Linked DNA regions of Schizosaccharomyces pombe. Changing the gene in region 1 together with any one later gene gives a genetic interaction. Each region holds a gene or a part of one and is shown in the gene's direction. Other genes may lie near its edges. The genes, in order: cwf19, gdh1, rsa1 and cxr1.

Region 1 (5,192 bases):
GTGTTACAACCATCACAGAAAACGATGCGATTTTTTGGTGGAGATTGAAGTCGTTGACAAACCGAACATTTCATAGCTAATGCGACCACAGGTCGACGACCTGGGCCACGTCGTCTAGTAGGTAATTTTACAAGGGGATCGAAATGATTAGGGCGATGCACTTTTCTTCCTGATTTTGTTTTGACACCTTCCAAATTAAATTGCTCTTCCCTACCATCTTCAGTAGAAAAGAGGGCGTCAGCGGTGTTGTCACGTTCAATAGCCAAACTGGCAGGCCATGATCTTTTCCGAGCAATGTTCATAGCAATTGACATAGGAGGTAATGGCGATGAACTTGCAGGAACATTTGGGGGTAACGCAGATTTTGTTTGGGAATCAGCACTTCTATGATGCGCATAATTAGATGAAGATGCGTCTTCAGTGAAAGGTGCCTGTTCGCTTTTTGCATCGGTTTCCTGATTTTTACTAGATTCTATTTCTTTAGCAACATCATCATTTTTGTACGAACCGAAAGCACCTGACTCCTTGTTTGGCTCGTGAAAGTGTTGGAACTGATTTTCCAAATGCATGTTTGAATTCACGTTAGGATTTTGTATATCCTGAAAGGCTTGATCTATTAGCACAGAGCCTCCATTTTGATTAGATTCCTCCCCCTCAAACATCGTTGGATGCAAATCATTGGGAAATCGACGACTACCGTCGAATTGAAAAGGATATGATGCCGCTTCAAAAGAACCGCCATCGTCGTCATAGTACGATGAATTCGGCATTAGGTTTTAAATCATTCATATGCTCATGTAAAAAACAAATGAAAAAATGAAGCAAATGGCAAAAAATGCGAATGTGTAAGTTCAACACGCGTGTTTGGAATTTAGGTGAGATTTAACGCAACTTATAAATCGTTTGCTGCTGTTACTCCAATTATGTTTTGCTAGCGAAATGAGATTGATCATCACTATATCTCGCTTATTCACTTCTCACTACAACTCACTGTCTAGTCATATATAAATACTGCACGTATCCATGAAGAGCTGAAATCTCACATTTATTAGAGCTTTTTTATTTTTAATTTTGTTAAATTTAATTATTCATGCATTAACTAGTCATAGCTATAAATATGAATGAAAATTTGGTCTTTCCTTTGTTTATATTTCCTAGATGGCCTAACAGCTATAATTGATTGAACTTGTATGCTATTAAAGGCGATAAACAGACTTCTTTAGTACTTTGCTAAAGAAAATATAATTGCAATGATCCAATTACACTGGAAATACAGGTATAAAAAATCGTCACAGTTTGGAAACAAACAATGCTTTTTTTTCTGTGGCTGTTGTGTAGCTTTGCTAGTATCATAAACTCATTGTACACTAGCGCAAGACACACTATACAGTAGTTAGCGCGAGGTATTTTATTATTCTTTCCAACTTATTTGTAATGAAGTTCAAATAAACAATGGGTAATTTAGTACTACTAAAGTCCTTGCGTTATTTAAAAGGTTTTTGTTTGAAGTTAGTGGTATATATTTTGGAATCCTAAAGTTATTGTATCGCCTTTCACTGTCAATGTGGAATACTGCAAAGGCCGATACTCCTTCTTTCAAACTTAATTGTTTCACTTTCTTTTCTTTCCATTTCAACGCAATATTTTACAATTTTTTTTAATTTAAAAGAGAATTCTGATCATTGTCTAAACTAAACTCCTGGCAAAACTATCATTTGCGTTGCTTGTTTAGATCTGCATAGTGCCTGAACCACTTGACTTAACGAATGTACTACTACCATCGTTAAGTTACAATAAAAACATTATTTCCTTTTTCCCACCATTTTGCCTCTAATTATTGTTAAAAATTATTTATTTCATGAATTAATATTAAAATAACGTCCATTATGGAAAAGGAAAAGCTTACAAATAGGACCAGTACTCACAAATTCAATGAAACTGACAGAGAAACAAATCACTCTAGAAGGCATCGTCACCACCACTCTAGGCATCGTGAGAGCAAGCATGGACGACATGATCGCAGTGAAAGGCCAAGCTCTAGAGAAGCAGGTGACCGAAGTAGGCATGAAAGATTTAGTAAAGAGCCATTGGAGGTAAAGAAACTTCCTGTTGAAAATGAATACTTTGACTCCAAATTCGCTTCTGCTTCTTCCATGCCATCCTCCAAAGACAATCCACAGAATAATGACTTTACTAATTCATTGCAAGGTTTGGATTTTGGTACGTTCGGTTCGCGTATACAAAGAGAACCTATTGACCGAAAGTCCAATAAGCCTGGTGAAATTTTTGTTGGTGCAACATTACAGAATGAGAGTTCGACGAGTACAGAACATAAAGATATAGAACAGCTTGAAACCGAAATTAATGAGTCAGGAATTAATTACAAAATTGGTGATAATGGCTCTCGATGGCGTATGATGAAGCTCAAACGCGTATTTGACATGGCTCAAGACCAACGACGCCCCGTTGAAGAAGTAGCTCTGGAACGTTATGGTTCATTGAAAGAATTTGATTTTGCCTTGGAAGAAAGAGATGAGTTAGAGCTTCGAAAACGAACTCGAAAAGTTCAGAAAGAAGTTCCTACTGGCGAATTATATGAAAAACGATGTGCTGATGAATTTAAGACTAGAAAAGATTCTGGTAATGGCGCTACATACTACAAAGTAATACCTGACCCTTCTGTAAATAAAGATACTCCCACTGAAAGCGATTTGAATAGATTAAAAGCTGATTTGTTACGTGCTCAACTTAAAAAGGATCCTAACTATGAGTCTTTAGAAAGGGAATATCAGAAAGCTTGTGATGACTTCGAAAACTCTTTACACCCTTCGGAAAATTCTAATTCGCAAGCAACCATACCATCAAAAAAAAGAAACTTCGACGATCCTACTATTGATGAGATGGTACAGGAAGAAAAATTGTTGAATAAACAACGGAAATACGGCCAGAATTATGAATACGCAAAGCAGATTGCAAAGGATAAAACTTATTCTAACAATCTGGATTATTTGGACGAAAATGCAGGGAAACTTTCTAATCGAATGAAGCGCGGAGACGTCAGTCTAGCTCAAATTAGTAGTGGTGGGGATCTTAAAAAAATTAATCATGTTTTGGACACTTGTCCTCTTTGCCTAAATTATGAAACACAACCTTTGGCACCAGTAATATCTTTAAGTCATCGTGCTTATGTTTCTTTACCAACTCAACCCGAATTAGCTAAATATCATTGTTTAATTGTTCCTACAGGACATCGGATAAATACCCTCAGCTGTGATGAGGATGAATGGGATGAAATCAGAGTATGTTAATATAGTAAAAGGAAATAACTAACAAACCTTTTTAGAATTTTATGAAATGCATCGCCCTAATGTTTGATTCCATGAATCTTGGTGTTATTTTTTATGAAAACGCGCCTTCACCACAAAGATATATGCACACAGCTATTGAGTGTATTCCAGTCTCTAAAAGGATCCTCTCACTTGCACCTGCTTACTTCCGTGAAGCTTTGTCTACTTCTGACGAGGAGTGGTCTCAACATCGAAAAATTATTGATACATTAGAAGGTTCGAAGAAGTATGGAAAATGGGCTTTTCGAAAAATGATGGTTAAGGGTATGTTTGGAAAATCGTAATCATTTATTTTACTAATGATTAGAATTGGGTTATTTTCATGTTTGGTTCAGTATTGATGGTGGCTACGGGCATGTCGTGGAAGACGAGAAGGCATGGGGGAGGCACGATCAAGTTCCTAGGCAGGTATTTGCCAGTATGCTAAACCTTCCTCCTGAAGTAATCAGAAGGAAAGGTTCTTGGACAGGTAAAAAAGATCCACGCGAAGATATGTTTCGCAGTCGTTTTGAAAAATTCGATTGGACCAAGGGATTAATTGATTAGTAATTACGAAAATCCTTTAATTCAAATAAAATTTTGTTTTTATTTTTGTATCTACATTCTTTAAGTAATATTCATTACTGATGATTTGTAAGATCTTTATTTTCATTAAGTGGTTACTCGCTATGCTACCTTATCTTTCTTTATTACTTGGTACCTGTCCATGTGCACACAGCTAATATACTGCTTCATATAAGCTAGAAGGGATGTCTTTTGAGCAAAAACAGCATGTAGCATCAGAAGACCAGGGCCATTTTAACACAGCGTATTCTCATGAAGAGTTTAACTTTCTTCAAAGCTCCCTAACTCGAAAGCTTGGACCTGAGTACGTTTCAAGAAGGTCAGGTCCTGGGGGTTTTTCAGTCAGTTATATTGAGTCTTGGAAAGCAATTGAGCTTGCGAACGAAATTTTTGGATTTAATGGGTGGTCTTCGTCGATACGCAGCATTAATGTTGACTTTATGGACGAAAATAAGGAAAATGGACGTATCAGTCTTGGCTTGAGCGTGATTGTTCGCGTGACAATCAAAGATGGTGCCTATCATGAAGATATTGGATACGGTTCTATTGATAATTGCCGTGGAAAGGCTTCAGCGTTTGAGAAATGCAAGAAAGAGGGCACTACAGATGCCTTAAAACGCGCTCTACGAAATTTTGGAAACAGTTTAGGAAATTGCATGTATGACAAATACTATCTTAGAGAAGTTGGAAAAATGAAACCACCCACTTATCACTTTGATAGCGGTGACTTGTTCCGTAAAACAGATCCTGCAGCGAGAGAGTCTTTCATAAAAAAACAGAAAACATTAAATAGCACGAGGACTGTTAACAATCAACCTCTGGTTAACAAGGGAGAACAATTAGCTCCTCGTAGAGCTGCAGAATTAAATGACGAACAGACAAGAGAAATTGAAATGTATGCAGACGAAGAGCTAGACAATATTTTTGTAGAGGATGATATAATTGCTCATTTAGCAGTAGCAGAGGACACAGCCCATCCTGCTGCTAATAACCACCATTCTGAAAAAGCTGGCACTCAAATAAATAACAAAGATAAAGGTTCACACAATTCAGCTAAACCAGTGCAGAGAAGCCACACCTATCCTGTCGCTGTTCCACAAAATACCAGTGATTCCGTTGGCAATGCTGTGACTGACACTTCCCCAAAAACGCTTTTCGACCCACTTAAGCCAAATACTGGTACACCTTCTCCAAAGTTTATTAGTGCACGGGCCGCAGCCGCAGCCGAAGGAGTTGTTTCAGCTCCCTTCACGAACAACTTTAATCCTCGTCTCGACAGCC
Region 2 (5,548 bases), on another chromosome or scaffold:
TCGCGAATTCGTTCAACTACTATTAGAGAACCCTAATTATCCTCTTCCAAAAGATGATCATGAACTAGAGGATATGATACACGATGAACAACAAGAAACGAAAAGTGGACATGAACAGTTTCGCGAACATGCAATGAAGGAAAAAGAAAAGAAGGGCAAAGAAAATGAAAATATGGGTGAGACCACAGTTGATCATGAAAACATAAATAGTAATGTTATGGACGAACAAGGAGAAAAGCAAAAAGATGATGTCGTCGATATGGTAAGGAAAATCACGGAAAAGGCGCAGTTATTCTTATCACATGAACAAATTACGATACGAGTGGAAATGTTAAAATTGTTGAGCTATGGAAGCAATGTTTTGGCTAAGGAGCCAAACACATTTTATCCTGCTATTAATACATTTTGGCCATTGGTCGTTATTCAGCTTGACACGGATAACGAACTGCTAGTAGAATGCGCATTAGAAACTATATATCAAGTTTGCGCCCTTGCAGATGATTTTATGACATCTAGGATTCGCCAAGATTTGCTTCCACGATTGGAGACGTTGTGCCAACGTTGGCATCTTTTCAATGTTGCTCGAACATATTCTAGTGAGCATCGTTTGCAAAGGGCAATGCTAAAAGTAACTTCAGCATGTGTGGCTAACAAATTGAGCATTGTAGTGTATTTGAAGCTTATGGGGATAACGGCACCCATCATACGAGCCATTACTCACATGTCTCAAAAGTATGCGGGGGATGAATCATTGGTGGAAGAAACTTGGAACGCATTTTCCAAGCAAAATCCCGACGCAGTGTATTATGAGAGAGAAGTTCGAGGGTCTCAAATGATTGACACTTTCTCTACTGAATTGTTAATTCCGGGAAAGCAACGTGTTCAACGTACATATCGCCGAACACATGAAGTTTTGGAACCTGTCGGAGCAAAGACGTCGGAGACTGTTTTCAATGATTTGCTTGGGCAACAAGGCAGCGGGAAAACCGAGACACAAGAGGAACCACTCCCTTCTTTGGACAATTTGTTACACTTGAATCAACCGAAAAAAGGAGCTAAAAAACCATTGATTTCCATCATTTAACGATAATAAAAGTGGTTACCAGTTTTAGAATTTTCCGTGTTTTAAAAGAAAATACAAAGAGCCTAAAAATCAGGCAAAGAATTCCATTACATCGCATAAAATTATATTGGCAAAGGCTCGACTTTTTTCATCTTGGCATTATTTGATTTGACTAAGGCTGTACTCGATTCAACTTGTTTCGATTTAGATGAGCCATTTTACCTACATTCAATGAGTCAGACTCAACGAATTTAGCTAAGTTGACGAAACGAGGCTGGCAGCTACCTAAATTATACTAAAAAACAAACTCATCTTGCTACCGAGCACAACGACGATCGCACCTTGTTTCGTAGTTTCGCTAATCTTTCGAATGAACTATTTTCTATCCAATTTTAGATTCAAAGCAAACAGCCACATGATCGGGCAAGGAATAAATGGACAAACGATAGTGGGATAGTGGGTTATCAGAAGACCAAAAAATAAAGAAATTTGAAATTTTTCTAACTTACATCTACGCTACGAATTTCATGACTCTGTTTCGTTTGTCTTTTTTCTATTGAAAGCTAGTCATGACTATGGCTGCTAAGGCGCAATACGTTTGGATGAGCGAATGTTTAGTCCATACTGTAAAACCGAGGCAAGGCCGTTTACTCGAATTTTCGGATATGTATTTGCGATTTGGTCTGCCTGGAAGAACCTACCCGTTTCAGTGTGATTCGACCTATTTCAGTATTTAGCGTTTTTTTCTTTTGGTACTATCCTTAGTTATCCTTGTTATCAGTAAGGGGGCAGCAACTGAAAGGAGTAAAGAATAGACCCTTTAAATGGATGTGAGAGATTGGAACGAGATTAGATTAACAAAGGACTTGGACTTTTCCAGATTTTTTTTCTTAAAAAAATTATAGAAACTGTTAATCAACAGAAAGCGAAAATCTTCTATATTACAACATTAACCTCTCTAAAACATTTTTTTTTCATCTAAAAACATCTTTCCCCCCCCCCCAAGCACCCCATCCCACTAAGGATCTTCTATAATTCCATGGATTTTCCCGGAGGAGCTGCGTTTTCCCCACATTTTCAGTAGGGTGGGTGATAGCCGTTGCACGGACCAATCATTAAGCAATGCTTATCTTATCTTTATTTGGTTGAGCAGGAGACGAAGGAATTCTGTGAGGGGGTTGGCTTATCAGATCGGAAATTTTCCGCTTAAGTAATCTTCTTTTCCACTATCCAATTATAGAGAAAAGAGATATATAGGAGCATTGTGATTGGAGATTTTGACATCATACTTACATCCTATTCGTCTGTTATCTCCGCCATCGCTCTTCCATCAGGTTTATTGCAAGTCGTCAGCCATTAGCAAACGTATGGTCTCCCAAAAAACAAGGTATCTGGTGTGACTGTTGATTATTGCTTGTTAAGTGTATAAATATAGCAGACATGGCCAGCACGTCCCTGAATCCTCCTGCTACACTGCACTGGTACATCTGGTAAGCGTTTTGAACCCGGATCGATATCTCTTACATACTCACGTTGTAAGAGTTTTGTTGGATTGTAGTTAAATTTTGAAAGTCTTTGCGTTGAAGGCGTCGAATACGGATTTGTATAGAACTTTGGATTGTACAGCCTGTATTTGTATTGTTAAAAGTTTTCGAGGTCGCCTTTTTTTGATATCTCGAATTCTCTAAACTTATCATTATTATATAGATATACACTCTATATCACTACCTTCGATTTTGTTTACTTTTTTGGCCCACCATGAGTACCCCATACGAACCTGAATTTCAACAAGCCTACAAGGAGATTGTGGGCTCCATCGAGAGCTCCAAGCTCTTTGAAGTTCATCCCGAGTTGAAGCGTGTGCTTCCAATCATTTCCATTCCCGAACGTGTCTTAGAATTCCGCGTCACATGGGAGGACGATAAAGGTAACTGCCGTGTTAACACCGGCTACCGTGTCCAATTCAACTCGGCTTTGGGCCCCTACAAGGGTGGATTGCGTTTCCATCCTTCCGTCAACTTGAGCATCCTCAAGTTCTTGGGCTTTGAACAAATTTTCAAGAATGCCTTGACGGGCCTTCCCATGGGTGGTGGCAAAGGTGGTTCTGACTTCGACCCCAAGGGCAAATCCGACAACGAGATTCGTCGCTTCTCGCAAGCTTTCATGCGTCAGCTTTTCCGCTATATCGGTCCTCAAACTGATGTACCGGCTGGTGATATTGGTGTCACAGGTTTTGTCGTTATGCACATGTTTGGTGAGTACAAGCGTCTTCGCAATGAGTACAGTGGTGTCGTCACCGGCAAGCACATGCTTACCGGCGGTAGCAACATTCGTCCTGAAGCCACTGGCTACGGTGTCGTTTACTATGTTAAGCACATGATTGAACACCGCACCAAGGGTGCCGAGACCTTGAAGGGCAAGCGTGTTGCCATCTCCGGTAGCGGCAACGTTGCTCAATATGCTGCCTTGAAGTGCATTCAAGAAGGCGCTATTGTTAAGAGTATCAGTGACTCTAAAGGTGTCCTAATTGCAAAGACCGCTGAAGGCCTTGTCCCTGAAGAGATCCATGAAATTATGGCTCTAAAGGAGAAGCGTGCCAGCATTGCCGACTCTGCTTCTCTTTGCAAGAAGCATCACTACATCGCCGGTGCTCGTCCCTGGACTAATGTTGGTGAAATTGACATTGCTTTGCCTTGTGCAACTCAAAACGAAGTTAGCGGTGAGGAAGCCGCCGCTCTTATCAAACAAGGATGTCGCTACGTTGCTGAGGGCTCCAACATGGGTTCTTCTGCTGAGGCCGTTGAAGTCTTTGAGAAGTCTCGTGCTTCTGGTGAGGGTTGCTGGCTTGCTCCTGGTAAGGCTGCCAATGCTGGTGGTGTCGCCGTTTCTGGCTTGGAAATGGCTCAAAATGCTCAATTCTCTACCTGGACTCATGCCGAGGTTGACGCTAAATTGGCTGGAATTATGCAAAACATCTTTGAACAATCCACCGATGTCGCCTCCAAGTATTGTGACTCTGGCTCTAACAACATTCCCAGTCTTGTCGATGGTGCCAACATTGCTGGTTTCTTGAAGGTTGCTACTGCCATGCAAGCCGTTGGTGACTGGTGGTAGACTTCATTCGTGAAATGTTTAGGCATTTTTGATTCACTGTATCTGTATATGTTTTTTCAAGTCACTCGCTTTTCTGTACCTCTTCTACTTTACCAATTTTTTTAAAAAGCTATGAATCTATTAGATGATTATGATGCATACGAAAAAAAATAAATCAGTCTTTGAATTATTCTCACAGATGCTTCGAATACGAAGTACCCGTAATTATGTAGACTTTTCATGTAATAAAAGGATCATTTGATTTTCTAGTTCCGCTCAAGGCGCCTCCTTTATTCAATTAATTTTAACTGGTATTTGATAGCTGTATGAAATTATTATTTATGAGAATCCTTTGAAGAATTTACTAAAAAGAATTTTTTAACGTTATGTAAATGATAGACTTGTATAAGAAAATAGTTGAGAAATAACAATTGCTGTTAAAAATGTGAAGAATAGACTAAATTATTAAAATACATAGGGCTCATAACGGTAAATTAAACATGGGCATTATTTGTACCCAAAAGAAGGGCTCTGCCTTCAGCTAAATAGGCAGCCGAGGTTTCATTAAACAGATCATCATCGTTTTCTGAATTCAGTGATGAATCATCAAAGTCATCGGAAGAGCTGGCACTGGATGATTTGCGCAGCGTAATGGAATAAATGAATTGTCGCAACCTATATTTTAAAGAAATCATAGAAAAAATAATCGGCAGTAGTATAAAGGTTGGATAACGTTTGCTAATAAGATTTCCAAGTGGTAAGAGGTCAATACTCTCACCATAGAATTGATGGAATTGGGTGGGATAAGGTTGTAGAGAAACAAAGTTATAACAAAGAGGAAGCGTTAAGCGACAAAGTTGAGATGCGAAGTATATCAAGGAGGCCGTATTTGTAGCTCGGAAAGGAACTAATGCATAATAGTAATGTGGCGCAAATTGAGTTCGCATCAAGGATTTGTACGTGCAGTATCGCATGTAATAAACAAATAAAAACGATACAAAAATAGAAGTGGCAGACGAATTGGTAAACTTTTGTAAGATAATACCAACCAAGGAATATTGAGTGTGCAAAAACACTTCTGATACCACAATGATTACACTCATTGAAGCCATAAATATTGAGAACAAAATTCTAAAAGCTGGAAGAATCCAAACGTAAAATGCATATGCAACGACAGGGTGTATTGGAATATATGAGTCTGGTAAGTATAGACGATAAGAGCCAGATGCTTTAGCAGTTTTGATCAGCATAATACGATTATATTCTTTTACCATTTGATTCCAAGTAGTTTGTAAAGCGATCACGTTAGACATTCCATTTGGAGAACTGTGAGGATTGAATGCGTGATCAGTAAGAGATGAAGTAAAAAAATCGCTGCTAGATTGATTCCGG
Region 3 (4,430 bases), on another chromosome or scaffold:
ACAATTTATCATAAACGTCCGGGTGAGATGATTTAAGCCATTCTTTACATTTTTTTAAAGTGCCCTCAAATTCGCAGTACTACAACGCATTCATAGTTAATATAATTATAAAACAAGTTGTTTATTACGTACTTCCACGGGCAATGTACAAACATCGCAGTATAATACTGATTTTAACTTCGGGATGGTTTGTGAAGCCATTATTTGAGTTTCTTGCAGTATAGGTTAAAGTAGAGACTACCTGGGGGAACGAAAATAGAAAGCGAGATTCAAAGAGGCGAAGCCTAAATATACTATGAGAGTAAAATATGCTTAAAAGCTGTAAGTTATTCGTTAAATAAAAAGTAATTCACATCTCAAGTCGTTTTAAATTTTAGAATATAATGTTATGCTGCTGAAACCGTAAACGGATTTTTAGGACTTTTGTTTACATATCAAAACAATGATATGATAACAAGCTGTTCTTTATAAAGAGTAATAAAAATAACGGCGCTGTAACATTGTAAACTAGATTCAACATGATAAAAAGCTACTACAAAATAAGTTGCGTAAAAAGATAGGAAATTAATTATTCAATTATTGTACAAATAAATACACACTTCGCAGCGTGAGCTAGTTCATAACTTTAAATTCATCAAGACTTCGTGAGTATCCTTAATCTTCAAGGGGCTGACCATAACAGAATGAATAGGAGAGCATTTCTTATCCAAATCATAATAAATGGAAGGAGATACAGCTCTTCTCTTCGATAAGTCGATTATTTCTTCGCCCCATCGAGTTCGCTTTTTCGAGGATGGGGTACGGGATCTGGAGTGATTGCTATTCGGAGTTGACATTTCTGTATCCTTAAAAAATACAGAACTGGAAAGCAGAGGAGATATGGGCATCTCATTCGAAGGCTTAGTAGATGGATTGTCCGTATTACTACTGTCCTCTGCAGATGACTCAATTACATCAGAGTTCTCAACAGCTTTCAAAGATCCTGATGGTGCGAGAACATTACCATTTGCACCTGTTATAGAACTGTAAAACGGTACACCCGGACCTACCATTGCAGGCGAAGCAGCTCTAGAAACAAAGGATGATGATTTTTTAGGCTCGAAAAACATCTTGGAAAATTCCGATTCACTACGGATTTCCAACTCCAGAGGAGATGATTCTTCATACAAGGCACTGGCTACGCGTTGGAACATTTTCGGTTTGGGAAGCAAAGACTTTCTTCGTAACACAGGACACAAAGATTTCGAAATTCTTCCAGAATGAGAGGGACTACAAAGGTCCTTTAAATTTTTTACTTCAATATGTTTATTTGGAGTCTTAGAAAACGAACGCTGATCCAAATTTTCATTGTAACTCAACTGCCTAGTTCCTCTAGCCATGGCAGCGGACGGCAAGTCTGTTGTAGAGTCTGATATGTACTCGGTATCATCATCTTCCATATCGGTCAGTTCTGAATCAAGTGGAAACATAGATTCATCAGTTTCGTCGCTCATTGAGTAATTTACATATCTTAATCCGATTGACGGTGAAGCTTCAGGAGAAGGGGCTGTAAAAGTTTGATGCAAGCTTGAGCACCTAATACTTTTCTCTCTGTTTCTTACAAAAAAGTTCAGACTTGAATTTGATGTTGCTGTGGTCGGTTTTCCAGGTGTTGGATGAAATGAATCCATTTCGACAGTATATCCCTACAAAATACCACAAAGACTTAAAAATAATATAAAGGCCCTATATTAAATAATCATTCTATATTTTATTGCATATGCTTTACAATTGAAAAAAATTCGTATTGACGAGGTGACGATAGGCTTCAGTTAAGATCTCGGGAGCAGTACAAAACATAAGCTTAAACATAGTTAATTCCAAAAGAGGATTCAAATCACCATTCTCATAGTAAAGCTTAACAGAAATTAACTTAATCAATAAATGAGAATTGTATAAGCCGCTTCTTTATACATAGTAAATATTAGGACAGACTATATTCAAGTAAGGATATTGTTGATACACTCATCAATTTTAATTTGCTTCAGAGATGTAAAGCAGGAAATTCAAAAGTTAAAAAATCGACAAGTGAAATTAGCTTATACATTCTGGATATTATCACTGTCCCTCTATATAACTGAAATTAAACTGAATGAAATAAATATTGCACAAATAGTCTAGTGTTGGTAGAATAATTAATTATTTCAATAGGGAGCTAATACTGTGAAATTAGTAGTATTTTGCTGTTCTACATTACATCTCGTTTTCAAGTTAGTTGTTGAGTTGGGGTGTATGATTCTGCTGTATACACTCAATGTTTTTTGCCACTTTTTCATATTATTCACAACTCCATTTGAAATTTGGAGCAATTAAAGGCTTATTTTTTTTATAATTGCTTTATCAAGCGAAAGGTGCAAAACCTAATTTAGTCCTACATCGACGTCTTATATTTTCTGATACACACACCTACATCAAAACCAGTCATCGTAAATTTTTTTAAAACCATACTTCAATTGAATCTGTTAATCAGGGTAACACAGCGTTTAAAAATAATCATATATTACATTTTGGAATTTCTGTAAATTCTCGTTTATGAGAAACACGTTCCTTACTCTATTGATTGTGTTTTGCAATTTCGCGTTGCGGTGATTATACATTGACTTTGAAAACTAATTTTTCAATTTGAGAATTTATCTTGAAGCTTTGAGTTATTTGGGATGAATCCTACCTCATTTATATATGATAAACCTCCACCTCCTCCCATCATAAACAAACCTTTTGAGCAAACGAATTCTTCTGCCTCCTTGACTCAAAAGAATTCTAGTAGTGAGACAGAAAATGTAGGAAGGCATGGGAAACGGCGAATGGATCAAGATCTTTCTTTTAAGCCAACAAAGCGAGGCAGTGGAAGAGGAAGAGGGAGAAGTTTTCGAGGGGGTTCACATGCCGGAAATACTAGGGGAGCTTGTGCAGTTGATGGAATAGAATACTTGAAGCGAAGGAATATTTCCATTAATACACCTGAGGAAATTGAAGCTTGGATTCAGGAGAGAAAAAAGAATTGGCCAACAGAGAGTAATATTCGCTCAAAACAAGTATGTCTATTTAGGTTTGCTCTAGTTGTATTCACACGTACTAATTGATGGTAATAAGGAAAAAGAAAAAGTTATGGAGAACTTAGGCGCTGCAGATACTTCACAATCGATAGACGCTCAACCTACTCCATCTCAGCACCCTTTAGCACACCATGAGCCTCACGAAAAAAGAGGACCTCCTAAAAAAAAGAGTCTCTATACAAAGGTACTTATATTTTCATTTTAGCCATTTAAAATTGGTTATGAAAAATGTGTTTATCCGATTCTTTTTACTAACATTGAACTTTCCAGTTGCTTAATACTCAATTGGAGCAAGAAAACATCTTCTTCCTTCAATTCATGAAATTATACCTTAAAAAAATGGGAATGGTTGTTAAACCTGTATCATGACTGCTGCCAAAAAATTATTTGCTATGATTTACCGCTGAACCACTCCGACTTTAGTAGCTACTTCTTCAAAGAAAACAGAAACTAAATTTTTTTTATTAACATATTCTAATGGATTTCTTGAAATTTTTACAAACGTAAACGAGATTTTTCTTTTCTTGAAAATGTCTGTTACTTAGCTTAATGTTACTTATGGTGTAGGCGTTCACGTCATGCTCTGACATTCTATCTTTATAACCCTCAACGCAGTAGTTGTAGCGTTCGAAACCATCTGTAAAGCAAAGTTCAAAATATTTACAGTTTGCTGTTTCTCACCGTATTCCCTTCAATATGTTAGAAGGGTTACTAGCAAGTAAGTCTTTTGTATTAAATACGAAACTAACGAAAAAGATTTTTTAAATCGACTCTTAGGAGAATACATTGAGAATTTTGACGCTACTCAGTTAAAAGTCGCTGTTTGGAACGGAGATGTTACGCTACGAAACTTGCAGTTGAAACGGAGTGTATGAGATTATAAGATGAATTATATTGAAAATTTTGATTTTGTATCTAATAAAATTGTTAGGCTTTCCGTAAACTAGAATTACCAATTTCGGTTCAATATGGTTTGGTTGAAGAACTGACACTCAAAATACCATGGTCTTCTTTAAAGAATAAACCAGTTGAAATATATATAGTTGGAATTCGTGCTTTGGCTTCAATGGAAGAAAATGTGAAGGTAGGGATCAAATATGAATATAGAATAAAACAGCACTTAGGACAATATAACGTTGTTTTAGAGCAGTTACTAACCATATTTATAGTCGCAATCAGAAGTTGACCCACATCAAGTCTTAGAGTCAAAGAGAAGACAAATGCAACTGTGGGAGGCTTCACAGATTGGCAAAGCAGAAACGGCATATGACCCTAAGACACAAACTTTTACCGAGTCTTTGATTACTCGAATGATTGATAATATTCAAATAAATA
Region 4 (5,162 bases), on another chromosome or scaffold:
CCCCAAAAGTTTAGAATAAGTACCAAATGTAAGTTAACAAGGGTAAATGTGTACATGAATTTGTGATCATTCGAAATGGAAGGAAAGAAATTAAATTTTTTAAATCATAAAAAATTCTTATTATAATAATTTCTGTTTTGGGAGAGTTTTATAAAAATGCTGATCAGTAAACCTGAAAGAAATCAAAGGGGTATTGAAGAGTCATCTGTATACATATTTTATAAAAACAGAACTGTGAAACTTTTAAATCCTTGAAAAATGTTAGTAGCGAGATGAAAATGGACGGAATAAATAAATAAATTGAGAGCATTTTTAACCCAGTTCTAATTTGTCATTGTAGTATTAAAAGCGATTTTAAAAATTTTTGATGTTTCTTGCTTAGTTTCCCAAGCAGCATTTTGCAAATTTTCTAATTAAACGTTTCAAATAGCTTAAGCATCGTCCGTGCAGTATCAAAGCAGCTGTAAATTGTTTTAATAAACAAATATTTTAATTAATGTTTTTATATGTTCTACTTTCTTCTAAAGTTGTTTCCCCCTAAATTCAACTAATCTATATGAATACTGTTACATACCCATGCATTTTAAGCTATATGGCTTTACTTAATACCTAAATTTCTTTTTTTTTTTTTTTTTTTTTTTTTTAAATTAAAAATATTCATTACCTTTTTCCTAATTACTTTGTCTTTAAAGTGCAATGCGTAGGTATTGATAGCAGAACCAAATTTCAAAACTATTATTATTTGTATTTCTAAATTTATAATGGTATCTTTCATTAAAAATTGATCAAGTAGTGTCGCTTGAATTCTCTTTAGCGGCTTACTATTCAATATTTATATGACTGAGTGTTGGCGCTTAACCTCTAATGTATTTAGCCAGGTGGATACAAAGACAAACAACTGTATGAAAAATGAAAGTTTATAGAATTAATGGAAACGGTGAAAGCAAAATTTAAGCTGTCTCTAAACCTACAAATTCGCATTTTTCTTTTGCCAGCACCATATGACGCATCCGTAGGATCTGCACATTTCAAGCAACGTAAATCATTTACCTCATTTTACTACTATGACTGAAGCGATGGAACCCTGCGCAGGAATCCAAAACTGCATAAGAAAAGAAATTCAAAAGACATAATTAATAACATGGTTGCACAAATAAAATTCAAAAAAATACTTATGTAAATGAAAAACCTTAAAAAAATCAATAATTTATAATTGCATAAATAGATTGCCTAACAATGTGCTGATAGATAAGTCAACTTACCTACGCTACAACATCGAAACCCCGTATTTGAACAATTCCTTTGTTTCCTTTGTCCTTGTGCTTATATTATTTCTCATTTTCTTATATTTTAATTGAGCTACATATAGAAAGTAATATCGAGGGAATTGCGTCAAATTTGAGTTAAAAATTGCATTTTGATTTTGAAGTTAGCATTTCGCTTTTTTTTTTTTTTGAGGTCTTTTATTTTAATATTTTCTTCTCTTTCTTTTTGCTCGTAGGTTTAAAGCGCAATTGCTGTTATTTTGATTGCAGTAGACTCTCGTGTTTACGTTAATTGCTATATTCGTTTTTCGTTTCTGCGTTCAGCGATACCCAAGTATCGTTGTTATTCCTTCTGCCGTTTAAATTGAACTTTCTCTTCCGTTTTCCTTTAGACATTGCATATTGTGTGCATTTTACAAGCATACATTTTCACTTTTGAGTTGACTTTTCAATTAATTTAATATATTATCATTAACTGATAATTCGTTTGCAATTAAACATTGAAAAGTTTTTTTTCCTTGAATTAGATTTTTTTTTATTAAAGACACCTCTTTTTTTTGGAAACTCCTAATTTATTATTTGAATTTCTTCTAGACTCTTTATCAGTTATCGAAGACTTACTACTTAACTTTGATTCATATTTTTTTACGTTTGGATCGTTGAGTTAACTAATTGGCCTAGTACCAACTAATAATTTTCTCTACCTTCGTTCATTTCACTTTGTGTTTGATCGACTACAATCCAGTTTGTACTTTTTCTTGGACAACTAACCGTATAAGTTATTTCCGTTAACTCACCAAAGTTATTTTAAGAGTTTGTGTTTTGTATACACAGTACATCATCTCATTTTTGTGGTGATAATTAGTCCTTTTGGCGATTTATTCATTGTTTCATCTTCACAAATATCCATTGTCGAAACTTTCATCTAACTTAGTTCAGCCTTCTGTCTCTACCGTGAGCATAGTGTGTCGATTTTTTTTGGTTTCTAGTATAATCCACTCTTTTATTAATTGCTAAAATTTTTAAAATGTCTTCCTCACCGACTGAGTCTGAAATTTTACCCAAGGAATCGCATAATTCGATAGACGAACAAAGCCAACAACCAGCTAATACGGATACTTTGGTTAAAGATAACTCCTTCAATGAACAAGATGACCAAGAAGTGGACAATGATTATAAATCAAATGATGAACCCGTACAATCTCAAGATCCGATTTCTCCAAATATGGCATCCAACGAATCTGGAAATTCCGAAAATACTAGCAACTATGGCTCATCAAGAGATGAAAACGTCTATCAAAAAACGACGCTTTGGATGGGTGAATTAGAGCCTTGGGTTACTGAAGCATTTATCCAGCAAGTTTGGAATACTTTAGGAAAGGCAGTCAAAGTAAAGCTTATTCGTAACAGGTACACAGGCATGAATGCTGGCTATTGTTTTGTCGAATTCGCATCTCCTCATGAAGCTTCAAGCGCGATGAGTATGAACAACAAACCAATTCCTGGTACAAATCATTTGTTTAAACTTAATTGGGCCTCTGGAGGCGGATTACGTGAAAAGTCTATTTCAAAGGCCTCAGAATATTCCATATTTGTGGGAGACTTGTCACCCAATGTCAATGAGTTTGATGTGTATTCTCTCTTCGCATCTCGATATAACTCATGCAAGTCGGCCAAAATCATGACTGATCCTCAAACAAATGTGTCAAGAGGATATGGTTTTGTCCGTTTTACGGACGAAAATGATCAGAAATCTGCATTGGCAGAAATGCAGGGTCAAATTTGTGGTGATCGTCCTATTCGGGTGGGATTAGCCACTCCTAAAAGTAAGGCTCATGTTTTTAGTCCTGTGAACGTTGTACCTGTTAGTATGCCACCAGTTGGATTTTATAGTGCTGCACAGCCTGTTCCTCAGTTTGCTGACACAGCAAACTCAACCGTATTTGTTGGCGGTCTCTCAAAATTTGTTTCTGAAGAGGAGCTTAAGTATCTTTTTCAAAATTTTGGAGAAATTGTTTATGTCAAAATTCCACCTGGAAAAGGTTGTGGATTTGTGCAATTTGTCAACCGACAGTCTGCTGAAATTGCTATCAATCAGTTGCAGGGTTATCCTTTGGGCAATTCTCGTATCCGATTATCTTGGGGAAGGAATCAGAATCCAATTGCGGCTCCTGCCTTGAATTATCAGTCTCAGGTTTCACAAACTACTATTCCTGCTACCTCATTATTTCCGGCAATGAGTTTACCACCCCAGGCTCAGTTTAGTCCATATCCGGCTGTTGCACCTTCCCCCTTAGCCCTGCAAACGAGGGGTGCACCGATTGGCATGGAAATTTCGATTGGATCTCCTGCCCTCGTACCTGATCAAATGCATATTCCTGAAAACGGCAACTCTGATACCATGCCTGTTCCTAACACACAAGGAAAGCATTTATCAGCTGAAGAGTAATGTAAAAGTACTTGCGATTGAATTTTTTATAATGGCATGTCTCATACTTTTTATCATCATTCTTGGTTTTTATAAAGTATGAATAATTTTCCATCTATTCTAATAAGTTTGATGTTCATAATGAATCACGGAGAATTATTGTTTCGAGAAACGTGAGAGTTCTTGTAAACTCTATCTGTTATTTTGGACGTTAAATCAAGAGAGTCCCTTAGCATAATTGATTAATAAGCATTTTACATGTGTTCATGAATTCGAATTATCGAAGAAAAGCTTGAACTAAATTTTTGTTGGACATAGCTTCATTACGTTTCCTTTCTAAGGATTGACGGTTTTTATATTCATCTCTCCCTGTTTATGATATGAAATGCTACGTTTTTTTAGCCGAAATTTTCATTTGTCATGATTTTTATAGTCAAGAAAAAGGTTTTCATACGACGTATATAAAAGATTAAATTTAATAGTAATGATGGACTTCAGAATTATCGCACTGAGATTTTTAGGTCGCTGGAGAATGCAGTTTAGGCAAGGTATGTAAGTGCTTATTGAGATTTCCCATTGATAAACAACTTTTAAGTTGCTTCTGGTTTAATCATTCGTTCTTTTAGGTATGAGTTTAGTTAAATGATCAGCGCCATTTTCAAAACATTTCATTCAACCAAAAATCAACCGCCTCTAAATTCAATTTTATTTGAATGATACTCCCTATTTATCGAAAAATCCATTCAATTAAAATCTATTATTAACTTTTCATCCATTTAAATCTACTCCATTTTTAAAGCTCTTGTTTACAGAGTAACAACGCGACTTGCAACTTCTACTACGCCAGGGGGGCGACTGTCGCAATAAACAACTGACAGAAAACGCACTTATAGTATAGGCTCAAAATCTTTTTAAATCGTAGCCTTTCCCATTAATACGAATACATCATCAAATTCAGTTTTGCGATTAAGTATAAACGGGCTTAACTCGTGCGTTTATATACTTTGTCAACGCTGTGATTAGTATTCAACCTTTGACGTTACACTTTATTAACCTGGCTCGATACTCTTAAATAAGACTCTGGAAAGCGACAATTCTTATAATTAATTTTATTTTTTATTTTTTAACCTGTGAAAAAGTTTTAATCTCTAGACCTGGAACGATCATTAACATAATTGTGTACACATTATTGAAATCCAGCTTATAAATGAATTTTGATCTACTAAATAATTTACTCACCGATCCAAAGAAGCAGACAACATAAACCATCACCTATCGCTATTTTTACCTTCATCCATTAAATAACACCTTCATACATTCCGAACACCAGGTTTTTGCACTCTCTACTCAGCAAATCGGAAAGGCTTAAAATGGGATTCACTAGTGTTGAACCCCCAGATTTTTTTGATTGGACTGCCAGAGCTATATTTTTATTATCGACATTACGCAGTCGCAGAAATGCTAAGCAA

Evidence for each region.
Region 2: mutations in cwf19 (region 1) and gdh1 together harm fitness more than expected from each alone (negative genetic interaction), as found in Schizosaccharomyces pombe (one large-scale study listed by BioGRID).
Region 3: mutations in cwf19 (region 1) and rsa1 together harm fitness less than expected from each alone (positive genetic interaction), as found in Schizosaccharomyces pombe (one large-scale study listed by BioGRID).
Region 4: mutations in cwf19 (region 1) and cxr1 together harm fitness more than expected from each alone (negative genetic interaction), as found in Schizosaccharomyces pombe (one large-scale study listed by BioGRID).

The regions. Positions count from the first base shown.
Region 1 is NC_003424.3:1,100,442-1,105,633, reverse strand, and holds cwf19 (protein Cwf19), read left to right. Parts: upstream 1-1,826; 5' UTR 1,827-1,886; coding exon 1,887-3,299; exon of another isoform or gene 3,300-3,343; coding exon 3,344-3,611; exon of another isoform or gene 3,612-3,654; coding exon 3,655-3,893; 3' UTR 3,894-3,949; downstream 3,950-5,192. Other genes in the region: Lsd1/2 complex PHD finger domain-containing protein Phf2, read right to left, coding at 1-770; DNA recombination mediator Rad52 (previously Rad22), read left to right, coding at 4,097-5,192. UniProt on the Schizosaccharomyces pombe protein: Involved in mRNA splicing where it associates with cdc5 and the other cwf proteins as part of the spliceosome. Involved in mRNA splicing.
Region 2 is NC_003421.2:1,418,086-1,423,633, reverse strand, and holds gdh1 (NADP-specific glutamate dehydrogenase Gdh1), read left to right. Parts: upstream 1-2,430; 5' UTR 2,431-2,821; coding exon 2,822-4,177; 3' UTR 4,178-4,503; downstream 4,504-5,548. Other genes in the region: TTT co-chaperone complex, armadillo-type fold subunit Tti1, read left to right, coding at 1-1,084; lmb1 (plasma membrane LMBR1-like multi-pass membrane protein, human LMBRD2 ortholog, implicated in signaling), read right to left, coding at 4,651-5,548.
Region 3 is NC_003423.3:4,331,390-4,335,819, reverse strand, and holds rsa1 (ribosome assembly protein), read left to right. Parts: upstream 1-2,434; 5' UTR 2,435-2,696; coding exon 2,697-3,074; exon of another isoform or gene 3,075-3,132; coding exon 3,133-3,279; exon of another isoform or gene 3,280-3,355; intron 3,356-3,365; coding exon 3,366-3,464; 3' UTR 3,465-3,642; downstream 3,643-4,430. Other genes in the region: tma22 (mitochondrial translation initiation factor), read right to left, coding at 1-79, 133-201; protein Dbl6, read right to left, coding at 618-1,670; vps1302 (lipid transfer protein), read left to right, coding at 3,792-3,813, 3,852-3,964, 4,027-4,179, 4,265-4,430.
Region 4 is NC_003423.3:3,834,395-3,839,556, reverse strand, and holds cxr1 (splicing factor Cxr1), read left to right. Parts: upstream 1-2,292; coding exon 2,293-3,714; 3' UTR 3,715-4,160; downstream 4,161-5,162. Other genes in the region: C2 domain protein Git1, read left to right, coding at 5,064-5,162.